Styela clava: one gene and its partner. Each later gene encodes a partner of the first gene's protein in a complex. Links are inferred from orthologs where the notes say so. Each region holds a gene or a part of one and is shown on either strand. Other genes may lie near its edges. The genes, in order: rab5 GDP/GTP exchange factor-like and ras-related protein Rab-21-like.

Evidence for each region.
Region 2: the proteins of rab5 GDP/GTP exchange factor-like (region 1) and ras-related protein Rab-21-like are in contact, whole or in part, in a crystal structure (PDB 2OT3), measured with the Homo sapiens proteins. The link is inferred for Styela clava from reciprocal best matches to the Homo sapiens genes RABGEF1 and RAB21. Residues at the interface, in NP_001273991.1 of Homo sapiens: Leu253, Cys254, Lys296, Phe299, Asn300, Lys303, Pro309, Ala310, Ser311, Ala312, Asp313, Phe315, Leu316, Pro317, Ile320, Leu347, Met348, Thr349, Gly350, Glu351, Gly353, Tyr354, Tyr355, Thr357, Asn358, Cys360, Cys361, Ala364, Phe365, Ser373; in NP_055814.1 of Homo sapiens: Ser19, Phe20, Lys21, Gly26, Glu27, Gly28, Lys32, Thr33, Leu37, Thr50, Thr51, Leu52, Gln53, Ala54, Ser55, Phe56, Ala71, Trp73, Asp74, Thr75, Ala76, Gly77, Gln78, Arg80, Phe81, Leu84, Ile87, Tyr88, Asp91.

What each region holds. Positions count from the first base shown.
Region 1 is NC_135257.1:5,263,522-5,274,357, forward strand, and holds the start of rab5 GDP/GTP exchange factor-like, read right to left. Parts: upstream 4,223-10,836; 5' UTR 3,788-4,222; coding exon 3,683-3,787; intron 3,297-3,682; coding exon 3,094-3,296; intron 2,011-3,093; coding exon 1,796-2,010; intron 1,220-1,795; coding exon 1,041-1,219; intron 394-1,040; coding exon 178-393; intron 1-177. UniProt on the Homo sapiens protein: Rab effector protein acting as linker between gamma-adaptin, RAB4A or RAB5A. Involved in endocytic membrane fusion and membrane trafficking of recycling endosomes. Stimulates nucleotide exchange on RAB5A. Can act as a ubiquitin ligase.
Region 2 is NC_135255.1:9,326,273-9,336,318, forward strand, and holds the start of ras-related protein Rab-21-like, read right to left. Parts: upstream 4,569-10,046; 5' UTR 4,427-4,568; coding exon 4,304-4,426; intron 3,967-4,303; coding exon 3,907-3,966; intron 3,303-3,906; coding exon 3,195-3,302; intron 2,435-3,194; coding exon 2,371-2,434; intron 1,773-2,370; coding exon 1,629-1,772; intron 1,056-1,628; coding exon 889-1,055; 3' UTR 1-888. Other genes in the region: uncharacterized protein LOC120331767, read left to right, coding at 9,771-9,899. UniProt on the Homo sapiens protein: The small GTPases Rab are key regulators of intracellular membrane trafficking, from the formation of transport vesicles to their fusion with membranes.

The DNA of each region.
Region 1 (10,836 bases):
ATGATTAGGCAGTCTTATTGTCATTTTACTCCCCGAAATAAATATGAAAATCCTATACTATCTACTATGCAAGGCTTGCCAGCACACGCAAATCTGATAACAGTTGTATAACTATTGTATAACTATAGTAACAGTCACCTGAAACAAACAAAGAAAAAGTTGAAGTATGCCATGCACCTGTACTGCCAAATCTTGACTTTCATCGTCTGTGTGATCGCTACAAAATATACTTCTGTACAATCTTGTCATTAAAAATTTTTCCACATTATCCATAATTCCCTCCTGGTCTTTTTCCGATGAATAACTACTAAACACAGGATGAGTCGTAAGCCTATCTGCCATCGACTGATAAAAATCCTGTACAAGTTCTGACTGCTCTTCAACCGACATTTCCTGGAACAACAATTGAATATATTTGATCAACATTTTGAATGGAAATTCACACTGACAAATTCAGACCGTCAATATTGTTATACTAGTTATTACAATGGCAAATAAATTGTGGATCAAAATTACAAGTTGATGTTAAACTTTGACAATTTCAATAACACACAATGGTAATTACAAATTGTTATTTGGAATGATGTGCCAAATGCCAATACAAAGTAGGCTAAATAGCAGTCAGCACTACTGGTGCCGATGAGAGGAAGGATAAACATACCTCCAAATCATTTAACACAAACAAACATGTGATCACTTGAAAAAGAAAAATCAGAACGTAAATTCCTAATATGTATGGCTTTAAAAAAAATTTTGTCAAACAGTGGGATATGTTCGTGAGTACAACGTATGGAAAGATATCGAACATCCGTAGTGAATCAAGCGAATTGAAAAATGATTTGCAATATATATTATATTGTTAAAAATTACCCTTTCCCATTCACCGCATACATGATGCACAAATAAATACATCAAATTATTTCATATTCAAAGGATGAACTTCAGATATATGAACAAATCGAAATTCTGTTCAAAATCAAACCAAAAGAATGGAAGCATGAGCTGGAAGCATTGGCTGATAAAAATAGAATCAAACTTACTCTGTTTACTACGAGTTTTTCCATGAATGATCTACATTGTTTCATGACATCTTTGGCAGCTGGTTCATTGAATGCTTTTATAAATTCCATAAAATCGTGTGATGCTTGCTTACTTTCATAGCTCTGTTGTCTTTCATGAGTTGCAGAAGACAGCCATCCCATACTTGTTCTATCTTGCCCTAAATAAATCTCTCACAATCAGTAAAGTATAAAATAATCACATTGGAATTGAACGAATAACAAGCTCAAAAAGTCATCAATATATATGCACAGCTGGTCTATATACATCTATAGTCTTCCCACTATCTGGACTTGAGTTTGGAGTCAACCCTTCGGGCATATGCATCTTTGCATGCAATGTCCAATGCAAATACGAAACAACTCTTGTCGAATGACTGCATAAGTATGCCTATTTGTGAGTACCAAAAAGCCCCTTAAAATAATTAATCTATTATAGTCTGATTAAATAATATGCTCAATTGGAACTGCTTAATGAACACACATTGATAACGAACGCTTAGTTATTAAATGTAAAAATGGGAAATTTGAAATGGTTCCATTACATTTGAACCCACGTACATTTGAACCCATGACAATTGCACCTGTATGCTATTGCACCTATGGAATTTTTTTTGTTTCACGGATAGTTAAACCCATGGGTTTTAGCACCCGCATATAGATTGAACCCGTGGATATACGCATGGGTTCAAATGTACATGGGTTCAAATGTACGGTCACCATTTGAAATAACTTACTCAGCAAAATTTTTCGACTGCTATCAGGTGATTTCCGTGAGATTGGTGTTAGAAATGTTGCGGCACGAGACGGGGATTGTTTTTGTGCCGAATTATTTCTAGGAGACACTGCATTTGTTGGACTGTTATCTTCATGATTCGGACTCGGGGTGAAAAGTTTTTTCAAGCTCTGTCTTGTACGATTTTTCTTATCCTCAAATTTGGAGAAGGTGCTGCTAAATTACATTGAATGCTTTTGGAATTTTTAGAAAACAACTTCATAACAATAACTGTATATGCACCAAAAATCCAAGATGTAAGAAATTAACAATTCATGCTGCAGAAATGTGAATATGCTTTATGTATGTAATGCGATTTTGTGGAACATAGACCACATCAAAAGAGCCTTTTCTTGGAACAATGACAGTGGTAATATAACTCAATTTATCAACTATATGGTTATTGAAGCTATCCAGTTTTTATATTTCGGTCCATGAAGATAATACTAAAGCAGTAGAATGAGGTTATACATACAGGATGAATAATAGAAGTAATACCTAATGTTAAATCAGATCAAGGTAGCAAATTCCTGAATAGTCATGTGACTGTCAATTCAATATTGATCATCATTAAATAATCAATATTTAATTTAAAACGCAAAATTGACGGGCACATTTTATAATGCCAATGAATATAACAGAAATGGAAGAGGGTAATTTAGTTTTTACAGGGTTATAAACTCAGTTATTAAATGAAAACAAATAAAAATTCAAAAACATAAAATACAATTTAATGATATTTAATGCTTTTTATAAGCTATACCATATCAATTTCTTGATGTTATTGTTATTATAATATATATAAATGGTTATGGGCGACACTGATGTATGTACCATAAGTCAGTTTCCAATTTCTACCAAACAACTTTCTTGCTATAATATGAAATAAGCAGCATTACATGTAGTAACAAAAAGTATGTATCGAGTAACTGCCAAATAACCATCTATAACCTCTATGCCTCAAATTTCAATTTGGTAAGATTTAATTTCCCCTCAGTTTTTAACTAATTTATGAAACTGCTAATTATAATATATCAATTAATAAAGTATCAATCAGCATTATCATGAATAATGAATTGGATGAGATTTCAAACAGCAGAGATCAATCCATTGAATTGAAACATATTTACATCAAAAACAAGAATTCTGAAAATTTGAGGCATGAGCATGCTATGCAAAAAAAAGCTAAAAAGAAATAATAAATTGAATAATCACAGTCAATGAATATCACATATAAATAGTTGCGGCTGGCTAACCCACCTAGCAAAAGTGCTTTCACTCTGTGCAGTAGAAGTTGGTGGGGTGGTAGGTGTGTGTGATATCTGAGCAGGACTGTTAGCAATGGGGGAAGTCACAGCTTTATTTTCCTGCTCTTGAAGTTTTTTTGCTAATTCATGATCTTGATCAATTTGTAACTGTTTTTGTGATTGATAATGTTCCCTCCAACACTTGGAACAATATCCCTGCAAATGAAAAGAGAATATGCCATTTCGGGCAATCATGGCTTTTATTTGGCAAGCTCTATGTTGTGATTGTGATGTCGTAGTGACGCAATTTTTCGATGACGTAGTTAGGTGGGGGTTAGGAATACTATATGCAAAAATGTTTGTACCACGCCATCTAGTAGTACTTATGGCGTTTAGTGAACATGCGGCCAATACTATTAAGACAATATTACATTTTTATTCAAGATTATCCTATGGTGGGCAAAACCCGCTACTGTCATTTGTAATTAAAAGATTGAGAAACAGAAAAATTCAATCTTCTGACTCTGGCAATTTATAATAACTAAAAGGCCTACAGCAGTACAGTGAAGCAATCAATATTGCAATATTTAGTTAGGTTATACCTTCCATGCATAATTTCCATAGAATCCACATCCATTTCTACAAAGCAATTCTGCTTGGTCAAGATGTATTCCTTTTCTACTGCCAAGTGATTTTATTGAAGTCATTACTTAATTCAGTAAAAAACTCCTGAAATCTGAACTACAATGCTGAGAACATTTGAATGATAGCAGGATATTGCCAATTTGCGTGATACAGTGAAAGTATTACAATATTATCCTATTTCTACAGCAAACTTTAAAAGATAGGTACCGTACTGTACAGTAGGTACCGCACCTACCGGTACGTTATTACCTGAATAATGTAATATCATGACGGCGCAGTCATACAGTAGGTCAGGGTGGTCCAAGGTTGTCGCCTTCCCGGACCACAAAAATATTTTTGCATTGTTCGCGGGACACAATAGCAGTAAAAATATGTAAACAACAAATGCTTTTATTGTGCAAACGATTGATCCTTGTTTTTCATTTATCAAGCTAAATCATACAAAATACGCCAGAAAAATCACTGAAACATGCAAAAGTTTAGCTATATTTACATTTAATGTAAGATTTCAAACTCTTCATAAAGCAGTAACAGAGAAAGTGCTCCCGCAAATGTAAGTGCTCGAACAACGAGGTTCTCAAAGCAAAATTTCCCTCGAAACAACACTAAATGCGATTTTTCGATTAGGCTACCCTTCAGCAAAGGCGACGCGGGCCACAGATAATGACGCCTGGGTTTGGACCACTCTGCCGTAGGTTAGGTACCGGTACCTACCGTATGACAGTACTGCAGTATGAACCTTGTTCGCCAACCTAAAACTTACCCCGACTACCCTACCCGAACAACAATCAACTAAAAAATCCCCTAAATAGGGTACCTATCGACCGCACTGTAAATATGAGGTACGTGGTCAAATTTCCAACTAACTTCAGAACTTGTCTGAACCAGTATATCTACCGTGGAACGGTAACCTAGGTAAAGCCAACGGCCGGCAACCAACTTGCCTAATGTTAAGCAAGTTCATGGACGCCATCTTGTGCCATATTTGGGAAACGCGAAACAATGGAGTCTTATGGAAAATTTTCGTCGTGTTGTTGTACCGAATCGAATAAGTCCGCTGGTACAAGTGCTAGAATGAAACTGAAGGGTGGATTTTGAACTTTAAGATATATGCTATCTTAATATATAACGCAATTTAGGAAAAAAAACTAACCAATGCGCTAAATTTGACCCCAAACACAGCGTAGAACCATTTTTGGTCATATTTCCAAAGATTTCATAGTGATACGCTAATTTGAGGCTGTAAAATGTCTCCGCAACAATCCTACAATGTCATTTGTTCTTCTAGCGCAGCTTTGAGCTGAGCAGTAGGGCATTATGAGAGATTGACGACCGAAAAATGTCAACCAGAAAATAGAAACGGCCATTGAAGCAAAGTTGGGTCGGCCGGTAATTTCGAAGAAAAAATACAACTTTTCATCTGTGACGTCATAAGGAACGCCATTGTCAAATGGTTAATTATGACGATAAGAATGGCCAATTTACTTCGGAAGCAACTCGGAACCGGTATACTTGTCTTCAAAGACAATTTAATGTACTATAAATGTAATTTGGCCAACATGAAAGGATATAAGCATGTACGGCTAAGATTCTACTTCAAAACGCGACCTTCAAAATTTTTCTACGCAAAATATTAGTGAAAATAATAGGTATGTTTCAATGATTGTGTTGAAACTTCCCAAAAGGCGCCGTGTTAAATTGCCGAGAACAATAGGCACAAGATGGCGTCCATTGTCTGAGCGTTGCCTCGCTTATATTATATCAATGACATTAAACAACATGATAGGCAACTCTGACGTCACTCCATAAGACTACAGGCAAAACATTGTATTTCATGATACGCTCCAATGCACATATTTCTCGTCGCCTTTCGCGTCCGTTTTCCGCTCGCTCCTGCTACTCGGCGTCTTTTTTACGTATAGTACCTGCCTTTTTGCGCCTGTAACGAAACAAAATAATCTCTATATCTAAGAAGTTTTGCTTACTTGGAAAGCTGGAATAACAGGCAAGCTGTAAAGAGCAATTCTGAACATCATAGACGTTTTTTTTTTATCAGAGAAGATTACAAACGCGATAGCGGAAAGATTTGTGTGGAACATTTTGCAGATAATGACAAAGTTCAAAGTTAGTAATTTTAATGTTTGCGCTTAATCATTGAAATTTCATTTAAAGAGGGTGTCATACAAAACTGTGCTGCGATACAATTCCATAACACAAAGTTTGCACCTATCGAACTTGCTTTTGTAGGTGAATTTATTAGATATATTACATATTCAGTTAATCGTAGGTAACATTGCTGGTACATAATGCATCGTAGATAGGTTTGTTTAAATTTAGGAATTTAGCTCATAGCCCACTAATTAATATTATCTTCTATGCAGGAGGTTGCAGGGCTGAATTCAACTTGCAGCCTTACCGATCACCTGACGATGCTCATTTAGTTTGGCTCGAGCAAGTCTTCTTGAAATGCTTGTGTGGATGGAAACTACCTATATTTTTTGCCTTCCTCCGATTTTAGACAAATTTATTCTGAGGGATTTCGCATATAATTCTCACTGATTGTTGGCTGTTTATAATTCCTATTGATTGTGAATTCTGATTATAACAATGAGTTGAAAATTTTTTTACCTAATTTACTGGCACCTTTTTCTTGTCAATACTCCAAGCTGAGGTAATAAACATGACAATACATTTATGTCATCTGGAAGCAAAATATGCACACTAATTAATAGTTTGGCACATTGAGATAATACATCATGACAGAAAATACAAGTTAAAGATATGTATGACCAACACATGGTAATTAAAATTAAAAAAAATTAATAGGGGCTGTGGAGTATGGAAAGTTCAAGACAAAGAAAAGAACAAATGTTCATAGCTCATGAACTCTCAATTTTGCCTCCATTGCTTTGTGAAGGCCAGTATATTTCGAGTGGCTGAATTGGTTTACCTTTATGATAGCAACGATTTTGTATTTAATATAGCGAGATTATTTCAATTTAATTGAAGTGATATAATTTCCCAAAGCAATGCTTGAATCGTCTAGAATAGATCAGTGGTGTCAAACTCATGGGTTTTCGAGAGCCGCATTGCATTTTGAAAATTGTAAAAAGAGCCGCAAACAGTTTTTGATAATGTATACTTAAAAGATATTTTTAAGATAGTTTTAGTTTGTGACATATATTGTGATGCAACTAAACAGTTGGATTAAGTTTTATTATTTTCTTCAATTTCAAATGCAATTACATATTAATATTTGCATTCCACTATTATTGCAACATTTGCAAGTTACAGTATTTATTATAAAAAATCGTAAAATTCTATGTACAACCATCAAAATCATTTTTGAACAAGCTTTGAATAAGGAAAGAATAATACATACACTAAAAATAACTTAATCTAAATATATGAACCTAAAATTAACAAAAATACTACAGTATAAACTCAATGTTTTAATAATTACATTTGTCCTGGCGTTTGGCATCTTTTTTGTGTCACCAGCATACTAAGGCCAGTCTGAAATGATTTTATAGTACCAACTCTAACTAACGAGGCCACATGATCATGGGTTTATCTGGATCTTTACGAATGTTTAATTAATTCCAGTAATGCAAAAAAGTTACTTTTATCATTTCATGTATAGATCAGTAAAAAAACAAATGACAGATTTTTTCGACAAGACATTTCGCACTACATTGCGTGGCATAGGATTGCTTGAATTATTATTGATATTGATTTTTAGTAACTAAGTCGTTGTATAATTATATTAATATACAAACACATGGAAATTTTCTGTTCGAAGTTGGTCTTCGAATTTGTCATATTGACTGCTGAGCTTATTGTGTTTTTTGATTGTATTGATGGAAATATGACAAATTAAATAATGTGCTTCAGAATTTTGTGAAGAGCAGAAATGTTACAACTCCCATTTTCTTCGAAAATGCCACCTTCTTCATGTACTTTGCGTTTAATTTAATTACTCAAGTGTTTTATTCAAGTATTCTTTTGCTAGCTTGATGTGTATTCTTAATTGGGTCAAAATGTGGACAAAAAAAATCAATATTCCAAAACTACTTTCAGTAAATTGTTTTCTGTGTGAATAATCAATTTCACTTTAGAAGGTTTGAAAAATCTATTACATTTAGATAAAAAAAAAAAAACTTCCAAAATACTATTACAATTATGGTTAAACGTTCGAGGGCCGCACTGGAAGTTCTCTGGGGCCGCGAGTTTGAGATCCCTGGTCTAGATTGAAGTTGTTCAAAAAATATATGATAGTAATTTATCATGAATGATGAATATACCCCTTCCGGAATTTCTTCTATAGTACTACCAAAAGTTGATGAACCAAATATAACACAGGTGCAGTGAGGTACCCGTAATCCTCATTTCCAAAGCTGTTTTAAGTATGTCTGGCGTGTTTTGTGCCTTTTTACAAATAAGACCGCTTATGCAATCTTACGCTTTGGAATTTTTAGTTATTTTCCTCAAGCTCTGCAGGATGTGGGGGCCATACACAACTCTACCGGAGGGTCAAATGTCTTTGCATGCCTCCATAGGTTGTTTTTCTATTGCAATTTTCTATTTTCAAATGCATTATATTTCTTGGAATCACACTGTCACTGATATGTCGCCAGACTTCTGATATCTCCCCGTCTGCTATAGTTGTCCTGTGGATAAATAATAGGAAATTGAGATTAGACGAATAGTTGAAAGTTTTGCTTTATGTCGGCTTAATTTCTTGATTGATATACTTACTATTTCTGCTATTGCCTCTTGTGCTGCAAGAGTCTCACAATGCTTAGACAGGTTTGTCCACAACTTTCACATCTGAAGAAAGAGAGGAGATTTATTAATTTTCGTTAAGAATAAATAAAGCAGTCTATATGATTCAGAATGGAAAAGCTACTAAATCCAATATCTCATGTTTTATTTAAAAAATATTTTACTGAATTTGGTATATAAACCAACTAATAAAAGGCTTTAGTCAGAAAATTACAAGCATTCGTGGCTCCAAATACTTGAGAAATCAGACTATACAATATAGACCGGTATGAGTGAAATGTTAGGTGAACTTGTTAACACTTTGATTCAATACGCAAATAAAAGTGAATGCGTAATAGTATGTTACAATGAGCAGCAATCAACAATGAGTATATATCCTCACTGGTTAAAAAAATCTAACTGGAGGTGCATGAACTATTTGAAACCATAAGGGGTAAGTAAATATGTAATTTCGGCAAATGGGCAACTACGTACCGTACTGAATTAATAACTTCGTAGTATTTGACAAAGGCTGGCTTTCACACATGTACTTAACAGTGCGATGCCCGGGTGTGATATACAACAATAGTATTCACCTTACCTTTTACCGATTTCTTTTTACCCCAACTTTCAAAAATATCATTAAAATCGACAACAACTGTCAAAGCAGGCACGAACACCATTCGTGCTACGCCTTGAAAGCAGCGCACATCCGCTCGTTTTCGTCTCGTCAAGTATGTGCATTGGAGCGTGCTATCGAATACGATCTTCGGACAAAAATGCCGGAGTTGCGCATCATGTTGTTTAATGTCATTGTATTATATATACGCTTTGGGTAAAGCTAGCGGCCACTTCAAGCGGACAGTTACCAATTTTTCCAAATTTGAACCCGCCATGTTCCACGACAGTTGTCGCGAATTCACTTAATTGCGGCTACATGGATGCAAAAAATTTAACTGAGTTGAAGCGTAATTTATGCAAGAAATAATTTTTTCTCATCCAATTCATTAATACGGTGAATTTGATGAAGATATATAAAACATATATTAAATTTTAAAACAATTCCACTTTGCGGAAAGTTGGGAAATACCCCCCAATTAAAGGAAAATTTTTAAGAAATTGTCGATATAACTCAGTTAAAGCGTCATTTATGCAGGAAATAATATTTTCTCATCCAATTCATTAATACAGTGTATTTGGTGGACAAATATAAAATACATATTAAAATTTAAAAAAAATCCACCGTGCGGAAAGTAGAAAAATTCCCCCCAGTTTAAGAAAAAAATATAGGAAATCTCCAATTTAACTCAGTTAAAGCGTAATTTAGGTAAGAAGGAATTTTTTCTCATCCAATTCATTATTGCAATGTGTTTGGTGGACAAATATAAAATAGATATTAAAATTAAAAAAAAATCCACCGTGCGGAAAGTAGAGAAATTCCCCTCAATTTAATGAAAATATTTAGGAAATCGTCTATCCAACTCAGTTAAAGCATAATTTATGCAAGAAAGAATATTTTCTCATCCAATTCATTGATACAATATATTTGGTGGAAAAATATAAAATACATATTAAAATTTAAAAAAAATCCACCGTGCGGAAAGTAGGGAAATTCCCCTCAATTTAAGAAAAAAATATAAGAAAATTGTCAATTTGACTCAGTTAAAGCGTAATTTAGGTAAGAAGGAATTTTTTCTCATCCAATTCATTAATGCAGTGTGTTTGGTGGACAAATATAAAATAGATATCGGAATTTTAAAAAAATCCACCATGCGGAAAGTAGGGAAATTCCCCTCAATTTAATGGAAATTTTTAAGAAATCGTCTATTTAACTTAGTTAAAAAATAATTTATGCAAGAAAGAATATTTTCTCATCCAATTCATTAATACAGTGTATTTGGTGGACAAATATAAAATACATATTGTAATTTAAAAAAAATCCACCGTGCGGAAAGTAGGGAAATTCCCCCCAATTTGATGAAAATATTTGAGAAATCGTCTATTTAACTCAGTTAAAGCGTAATTTATTCAAGAAAGAAAATTTTCTCATTGAATTCATTTATACGGTGTATTTGGTGGACAAATATAAAATACATATTAAAATTAAAAAAAAATCCACCGTGCGGAAAGTAGGGAAATTCCCCTCAATTTAATGAAAATATTTAAGAAATCGTCTATCCAACTCAGTTAAAAAATAATTTATGCAAGAAAGAATATTTTCTCATCCAATTCATTAATACAGTGTATTTGGTGGAGAAATATAAAATACATATTAAAATTTGAAAAAAATCCACCGTGCGGAAAGTAGGGAAATTCCCCTCAATTGAAGAAAAAAATATAAGAAATC
Region 2 (10,046 bases), on another chromosome or scaffold:
CTGAACAATTAATTTTAACGAAAAAGGGCGTTTTATCAAAAGACTTTGGTGATCAAAATTAATTACTCTTTCTGTAAAATCTGATCATTTTTGCTGCCCATTTCATGAAGTATATTTATGAATATATTATGTATGATTTTTCAATTATACATCCATTTACATAATTCAAAGTCAATCGCAAAAATAAATTTTCAGAAAAACCTCCCATTTGGGATATTTTCAACCTAAAACATAGGCAGGAATTCAAATCAGATGCGTTTTGAATTAAGGAAAATCACTGATGTTTATATACACTTAAAATTAACAACTTTTCATAATAAATAGATAGGGAATTAGTCACAACTTCGATTCCCAATCATACCAAAACTTCAAATATCTAATAAGACAGCATGATTTATTCATGCCATATAAATATGAGTCCCTTCAGGATTTTGGAGCAAAAAGAAAAATAACTGTGGAGATGGAAACTCAAAATTTTAGTCAAACTTCTAATGGTTATGAGCGAAGTGAAAATATTCAATAATCAAAGTTGATTTGAGAATTCTAGATAGATAATGATAGAATGCTTGCATATGAAAAGGTTTCAAACAAAATTTGGTGTTTTCATTGTTCGGAACTGTAAACTGAGTCAAAATTGCCATCAGCTGGATGTTGGCTCAGAGTATGGAGCTTTCTCAGCTCTGATTAGTAGTATTGATTTGTGGATAACAGGAAATTAACAAGAACTGCTGAAAAGTGCATGTAATGAGGATTGAGTGTTATGTCTCATGATACTTGGATCAGATCAATGTAGATATTTTGCATGCAAGATGTCACAGTAATATCTATCAAGTCCATGCAGGTATCTGTATAGATGTTGACAGTCATTGATCAACAGTCGTTCAAAATTTATGAATCTCCGCTTCCTCCGCAACATCCTCCTGATTTTGGTTGTTGAGCTGCGGCCTCTTCATCACTTACAACGACAACACCCCTCCGACTCGCATTTCGGGTTGATGCCGAACTCCCAGCCATTTGTGAACCGGTGTTTGTTGTCTGTTGTGTCTCCAACATACCTGCAATTAAATTGACTTAGGCTTTACCAAATCTGCAATGTAATATGTCACTTGTGATTTAAAAGATAATTGTAACCAGAGCTGGGGAGTTGTTCTGAAGAAACAGTATAATCAAACTTAATTTGTACTTTGGTCTGCCCTCCACCATGAAACATCAGTCCAAATGTATAACGATATGATACAAGTGAATCAAATTTTAAGAATAAACTTAAAAATTATTACTAGTAATTAAGTTGAAAAAGGATGGATTAAATATTTTTTACGAAGTATTGAAAAATTATAAACATAAAAAATAGTTCGATGGTTAGGAGCTGGAGCCACTAAGATTTCTCGGCCCGTCGGCTCCCCATCTCATGTAACTTCATGAAACTATTCTGGCAATAAAAGTAAGGCACGCTAATCCATCTTTGTTGAGATGCATTCAGAACGCTGTATTCTCATCTCGAACATGACAAGTAGGCTAACTATTGAAGAGGCAGCAGTTTAGCATACAATTTACCACAAACTTTCGAGCTATTTCTAAATCGTAACAAGACACACAATATTTGCGTCCATTATGAACCAAAAACTTACGTTTAGTTAAAGTTAGAAATAGTTCTTCAATTCCTTTATTCTGTTTTGCACTAGTATGTATATGTTTTGCTCCAACAGATGCCGCGTATGCTTCTGCATCCGATACTGTTACGTGGCGATCTTTTTCCAAATCAATTTTATTTCCTATTAAATGAAGGATTATTGTAAAATTGTTAACTATTCTGAATGTTTCTTTATAGTATATATAATTTATACTGATGGTTTGACATATAATAGGCATTCTTATTGGTCCTTATCTTCTGAGGATGACTATATAATATAATATCATCATACAGAAAGCAAAGTGCTTTTGTTGATAGAATGTGGTATAAACTGCTAATTACAGACATTGAAAGTCAGACAGGAATAATCTTGACAAACAGCTTCGATATAACTGAGTAAAACATTTTTATGGGGTATTTGCACACCTCCATGATGAGCTAGACTCATTAGCCACTAACACATAAAGATTTTCCATGTTTTTAGAGGGAGACTTGAGAGGGAAATTCAAACTCATTGGATATCATATTCATTGCCTTTTATAAATTCTCTGTTGGCATGACACGATTTAGAGTAATATATAGAATATCCTACTCCATTTTAAAAAATATTATTTTAGATAATATGCGGAAACAGTGGCAAAAACTATAGGCTACTACTATTATCTTGGTATACGAAACAAGAACTATGCAAGGCTATCTAGACAAAATAGAAATCTTAAATCAAACAAAACAGTTCATACCTGCGATTACTAAACTAATGTCTTCTCCCAACATTTTTCTGAGTTCTTTCACCCAGTTTTTAACCTTGATTTCAAAAACAAACAAAATTCTGATTATTTGTCACTTTAATAAGTACATTGACAATGATCCTAGTCAATCGAAATATATTCGCGAGATACTTGGGCAAGTTTTAACTAATATGTTTTACACACTTTACTCTGAAAGAAGTTCTATATCAGCAATCATTAACTTAAAAGAGAGCACTCTTGGTGAAGTGGAAGGAATCGATCCCGAGGCCTTTTAAACTATTATCATCGATAGGTAATTATGCCAAACAGTTGACAATCACAAATATGTAACAATTACGCTTGATCATTCTTTGAAATGATCACAAACTACCAATTATTTTAGAATTATTTATGTAAGCTCACAATAATTCAAATTCAACTTTTTTACTCAAAGGGTACAAGCCTGTTGTGAACATATAGTAGTAAACTAAGTCAGCGGTTCTCAACCGCGGACCCTTGGCTCCCTGAGGAGGCCACAGAGCAGTTGAAGGGAGGCCATAATGCTACGCGCAAAACAGATTTTACATTTATCTTGACAAGAAAACTCCCCGTTCTTCTTAGTTTCATTTCTGGATGAGGTGTTTTCAAGTTGTTGAGCATGAATTGTTTGAATATAATGGGATTTGGAATCTACCAATCAAATTAGCACTATTAAGACCACTGGAATGATAAACAGGGAGCCATGAGTGATGAAATCCTCCGAAAGGGAGCCACGAGCCGTAAAAGGTCGGGAACCACTGCACAAAAGCGTTTATCAATACATTGGAATGTTATACCTTCTGAAAAGAGTCTTCATCTGTGATATCATAAACTAATATTGCACCATTACTGTCTCTGTAGTATATTGGACCGAGTGCATGGAACCTTTCTTGTCCTGCAGTATCCTGTTGAGAGAACAATCATAAAAGTCACTCAGGCATGAAGTAAGTGTATTGAAGCAAAATTTAACTGTTGCGTAATAACCGGCTCAACAGTTGTGTTGCTATGCGAAGTATAATGAACACACTTGCTGTGGAATATAAACGAGTTCCGCTTGTTCAGATATCTTGTGGGTTATAATTATGTATGAAAATATTGTGGAATCCACACTGTCATTGGGTGGTTCAAGTAATCGGCCTTACATCATCAAGTCCATGCATGTGAAACGAACAACTGGTTAACTCTTCGCAACCTTGACTGGTAAGTACGTAACCAGATGAAAGGCCGTGGCTAGCAAAAAATGGTAATTCTACCCTAACCCAAGAATTTGAATAGCAAACGTAAAATATAGGAACAATATTTTGGTAACACAGTTTAGTTAGTTCAACAGATTACAGATTGGTTTCAGTTGAATACACAGCTATTGAAACAAATTAGGTATCTTATAAAATTTCATCGTATTAAATACCACAATAAAAATATGCAACTGTTTTTAGCATATCTGCATTTCTTTGTTATTAATTTTCAGTCAAATCAAGTTTTTCTTATAAAGTACTCCATGATATTTACCCATATTGAGAGATTGACACGTTTTCCACCAACATTTAATTTCTTATTCAAGAAAGATGCCTAAAAAGAAACAATTTATTATTAAGTTTTTAATACATTAGCAAAATGTTACATATTTCTTTTGCACAAATTTGCTGATTGCTACAACAGCAAATAGGATTAAATAAATATATAGCATACATGCTTTTAATGAAATCAAAATCATGTTTTAAAGAAGTAATTTATGGTAAAAGTTATTTTCCTAAAGGTTTCTGCTATGTGGAGTGCCGTTCCTTACAGCTCTATTAGTCATAAAAAACTTGAATGAAAAATCTTTCGGAGACTCTATAATCCTAAATAAAATTATATATACCCTAACCAACTTCATAATGTTAGGATTATGATCAGAAAAGTATACCTGTAGGGTGGTAATATGTTTGTCATTAAATTTATCTTCACAGTATCGTAAGACTAGAGATGTTTTTCCAACACATCCTTCACCAAGCAGGACAACTTTAAAATTTGTCGTCCTCGAGCCCATTTTTGGCTCCTTATTTTACCCTATGGGTGGAGCGCACTTGCAAAAAGCAAATATCAGATTTCTTATTTTGAAACAATGACAAAAATTTGCATATACAACAAATAGAAGAAGTCAAACCAGGCTATTATCTATTTATGAAATATATTAAATCTAAAGAAAAATAGCAGTGGAAATAAAAAAGATTGATTGGCAGTATCAAAGGAATTCAAGAACACACAATTGAAAATTATGCCACATTCAAACAGTATAAAGTGAAATAGATTTGGTTGATTGAGTTCAAGATATTGAAATATGAAAATTTCCTGTTTTTTTAATCGCAGAATGAACAGACGACACGAACGTTCATGGATTTTGAATTTCAAAATCATATAGTATGTGAATCATCAATTACCACACATAATATATTCACTTTGAATGGATGCATCGAGTGTGTAAAATTTTTTTTATATGACATTTATTCATGCATGTTGATTTGAACAAGGCTTGTACAAGCAGCCATTGATATCTAACTATATGTGAGGACTTACTATTTAAGAACCGGAATATCGGGATTTGAACACAAATTTTCTATGCTAACACTGCTGCGCTTCAACAGCTAGGCCAGCGGTTCCCAAAAGGTGCGCCGCGAAAACTAACAGAATTGTGATGAACATAACTGAAATATGATTGAATATTATATTGTATTTATTTTAAATGTTCAATTGTTTCTTCTTCCAAATGCTGTGCATATGAATCAATAAATTCATTTCACCTTTCTATGTCGTTTACTTTGTGTTACTTATTGTCTGCCGTTACGTAACAATATAGGTAACCACTATTTGCTGGAATTTCGTGATCTACATTCCTTTTAACTGCTGAATCGAGTTTAGCGAACATGAGTGATTTTTTTAGCATTTCAAATGATATTGCATAGACCCACATGTTTACAAACTTTGAAAGGCATAAAGTACGCATTAACGATCACAAAATTGAGTTTTGTTTGGAGGCAGCATTTTTTTTTCGTGTAAGTGCACCGTGAGTTTTTTTCTCTGATAAAAATGGTGCGCGCGAACAAAAAGTTTGGGAACTGCTGAGCTAGGCTATTACGAATATAGAGATCTCAAGGCACCATCTAATTTTATAATAGTGCCATTGATAAATGTGTTCTCAATGATAGACTGTGCTAACATAGCATATTCATCAGGATTACCTAATCTACTTGGGTATAGATTTTGATGTGAAATCAACTTCTGAATATTCTCAGGAATTGTCATAATATTTGGAGTACTGAAATATCCAGGAGCAATGGCGACAGTTCTGATTCCTTGCTTGCCTAATTCTCTCGCAAGAGGCAAAGTCATAGCAGCAACAGCTGCTTTACTAGTTGAATGAGAAATGTGGCTTCTTTGACCACAGAATGCAAAGGTACTAGAGGTATTAATAATCACACCTCGCTGGCCGTCTTCGTCAGGTTCATTTTTTGCCATCTCTGGTACAAAGCAGCGAATGGCATTAAAAGTGCCCATAATATTAGTATCCAATATTTCTTGGAACAAATCTAATGGATGGGGTAAATCGCGGCCAATATTATATACTGCACGGGATGTTGACGTCCCAACACAATTTACAAGTACATGCACAGCATCAAATCTTGCTAATGTTAAATCAACTGCTTCTGATAAATCTTCTGTGTTTGTGACATCACAAGGACAGAATGCACAATTATCTTTTCCCAATTGTTCCACAGCTTCAATACCTCTAGATTCCGAGCGGTCAATAATGGTTACTTTTCCACCTTGCTTAACAATTCGTTGAGCAGTGGCAAGACCAAGGCCAGTACTCCCACCAGTTACAACAGCAACAAGCTTTCCTAATCGAAACACCATAATAACTAAATATTAGCTTCTTATATACATAAATATTAATTAGAATATATCTATAGAATATTGGGAAATATATAACACAATAATTATATCCATATCAATATTGTAATATCCATTACAATAATTACAGTCGTAAAGATGATTGTATATTATATTGTACTACTTGTAACTACTATATACACACAACATTAACAATAACATCAAGGAAAAATAACTTAGAATTTGATCAGGTGATATTTATATTTACTTCCTCAAAGATTGTATGATATAATTCGCTTGTATTGAGATAAATATGGCTTTTGTTATTATAAATTACAAGGTGAGATTGACAGATGTTTTCTACACAAAATTTTAACAGGTCCCATTCATGGTTTGTACATGATATGAAAAGCAAACAAGACTATTTAATGAATCATATTAGTACATGTCCAAAGCATGGAATCTATTAGTCATTCTTAACTGGAATTAATACATTTTCAAGCTAGAATAGAACCCAAATGATCTAAACCAGTGGTTCCCAAACTTTTTTAAAAATATTCCATGGCGGGCCCTTGCAATTTTTTTAATGATTCACAGCCTTGTGCACTAAAACAAAAATCAATACGTCGTATAATGGAAAACGCTGAAACGAACAAAAGTATATGGAGAAGTTTAATGGGATGGGTGCACTTGTTTTATTGTAAAACAGCATTTAAAAGCAAACTGACATAACTAAACTGCCTACTGAAACTCCCTCCTATACCAACAAACATGCAAAAGGCAGCATCAGCTACACCTCTGCAGTTAGTTAACTTGTAAAGACAGCTATCACAGGCTTACAGCTTACATAACAACAATGGGGCAGCGTGGTCAATACCGAAAGTGAGAAATCACTGTCTCCAGCAGTGATTGCGATGCAGCAAAAGGCGACAAATGTGTATTTGCAAATTTAAGCACCTAATTTTTGTATTATTGAGCTATGAGCCATATAACAGATTTCTTTTGCGGACCCTCCGAAAGTGCTTCAAGGACCCCAAAAGGTCCGCGGACCCCAGTTTGGGGACCACTGATCTAAACCTTTAGCATAGAGTGTTGCATGGAATTGAGATGTCAAATAATGAACTTCATTAAACATTGGAGGAATAATACTGTACTGTACAAATAAAATTTGTATCAAGATGTAAATTACTATAACTTTAGGTCTTTTACATTGATACTGTTAACATGGGTTTACAGAGTCGAAATCTTACCTATATTAATTCAGTGATTAGATCATTTACATGAAATTATGGTGAACAGCCCTATTAACAAAGGAAACTAAGGAGCATTTCCTAAACTAGGAACCAGCTCACACAAAACAACACAGCAGTAAAAATTGTATTTCACAACATGGAATATCCAACAGACTGATAAACAAGTAAGAAAAACATGCAGACTAAATGTCATAACATAGTAAAATGAAATTCATAAATGTCAGAATGTTGCGGGAATTGATATGCATTATTATCACCAGTTATAACAGTATACTGGTATACAGGTATAATGTGATCATACTGCCATCAGTATCTCTACTGCTGTATCAAGTCAAGAACAGAGAGGGCATAAATTAAATTAAAACAATGTAATTATCCCTCTAAATGTATAGTCCAGTCAGACAGTAGTCTACTGCTGCTTAGTGGTCATGGAGTAAAATTTCCCGGGTCTGGTATAGTTTAGTACCACATCCACTTCTAGTTGGCCTGGCTCAACAATTTTTGCATATGTCAATCCTAACCCCCACCTGACAACGTCACCGAAAAATTACGTCATTCCGACGTCACAGTGGCGTAATAAGGCCCACCGAAGTATGCGGATGGTCGTCCAAAACGCGCAGACGAAAACCCGAAATCGAGCAAGCTATTTCTCTCGTTTTCTCGTCGCAACGATCTCGATAGGAGAGAGATCGCCGGCTTTAGCAAGTTCTTATCGACGGCGCAGATGTCATTTCGGGCGATTTTAATTATACTTTGGCAATCCCTATGAAGTGATGGTGACGTCATAGTGACGTAATTTTTGAATGGCATATTCAGGTGAGGGTTAGGAATAACATATGCGAAAATCGTTATGCTACGCCCACTGGAAGTACTTGTGGTACTAAACTATACTAGACCCAATTTCCCAATACACGTATGAGCTAACCTAATTTCCTTCATATTTCAGTATTTGGTCTTGCTATACAATCTCTTACAGTCTTATGTATGGATTCAACTTCATCTGTTCATTAACATTTCTGCATTCACATACTTTAAAAATTAGGGCATCTTTTTGCAGTTTTCAGGTTTAGTAGCTAAAATTTTATGTGTCGCACTACCGGTACACAATTCAGCAATTACTGAATTATAATGGCACCACGTCGCTAATTACAGAACTAGTTAACCTAACATTGTGGATATGTTTTTTACTACATACCGTAATTATAGTGACATTGCATTCTTTACTAATTTAAAACGTATTATAAATATAGGGATATCATAACTCAGTAACTCTATGACAGTACGGTACGAACATTCAGCCCGAAGCAGCAAGATAGATTTATGAACTGACAGATCACTCAGCCGGAAATATTGTGAAAGATGACGTCGTGAGCATGTGACTGACCACCAATCGCACGTTTTCGGAATGTTTTGACTTTAGACCTAAATTTTTCCTTGAATAGTCTCCTTTGATATCTGAGTCGATTAGGTGATAAGCCTCAACAAGGAAGTCGCCAACATCAATGAAAAACACTATGAATTCGATTATCCCTTAGTTTTGTAGTTGTTATTATTGTAATTCGCATTTCGCAACATGCACCGTCACATAATTCATTTTATTCTCTTCAGTAAGATTGTGGTGATATATGTTTTCACCTGTGTGGCTTATTTTCCCGATATTTTCGTCGCTATTGTGTGTGATTTTTTTTTGTTCTTTGCTATAGACGGAAGATCGAAATAAAATTGTATGGTCGACTGGTCGTATTGATTATGCTGTACAAAGTTTGAATTTGCAAAGAATTTCCTTGGGTGGATCTGCCTATCATAAATGCTAAATTACTCTGCAGACTGCAGGGCAGGGCTGCCACTTTTGTCTGAATAAAACCATCTAGAATAACTAGATTGACCTTAAAAAACATCTAAATCAGGCATATGATTCAAGTTTCATCAATCTTACATCTAATTCTAAATACAGTACTATTCGTTTAACAATTATATACATCGCATTTTTATTTCCCACCAGATATTATTTGGAACGTTGAAAAAAAGTATCATATTTTATAGCTAACATCTAGACTCCAAATTGTACATCCTGATCTTGAACAAAACATCTAGCAGATCTAGCTATAAAACATCTGACGTGGCAGCTCTGCTGCAGAGGCCAAATTCGTTACATTCTGACATCATAATTGCAATTAATTTGCTGTAACCTTGACAATGTGATACTAGAAGTATAATACACTCGAATGCCCGTAGTTTACTCTGGCCGGCATGTCGGCTTCTGTAAAATTAAGATATGGCCCAGAAGGGTGGTCTTCCATTAATCCAGAAGAGAGGAGCATTTTAACAGCAAACAGGGTCAACGTTCAGAACCAAAAATTTAAGAAAGAACTAGCTGTGGTAAGTTCATTGTGACTGTCTGTAAGTTTAATCGGTAATATGTTACATATTCCGTATTAGTTAAGATTTCCATTCAGTAGTCGCTATTTTAGATAAGATTACGCGACTCTGAGAAAATTTATCACATTTTATGCGAAAAATTATAAT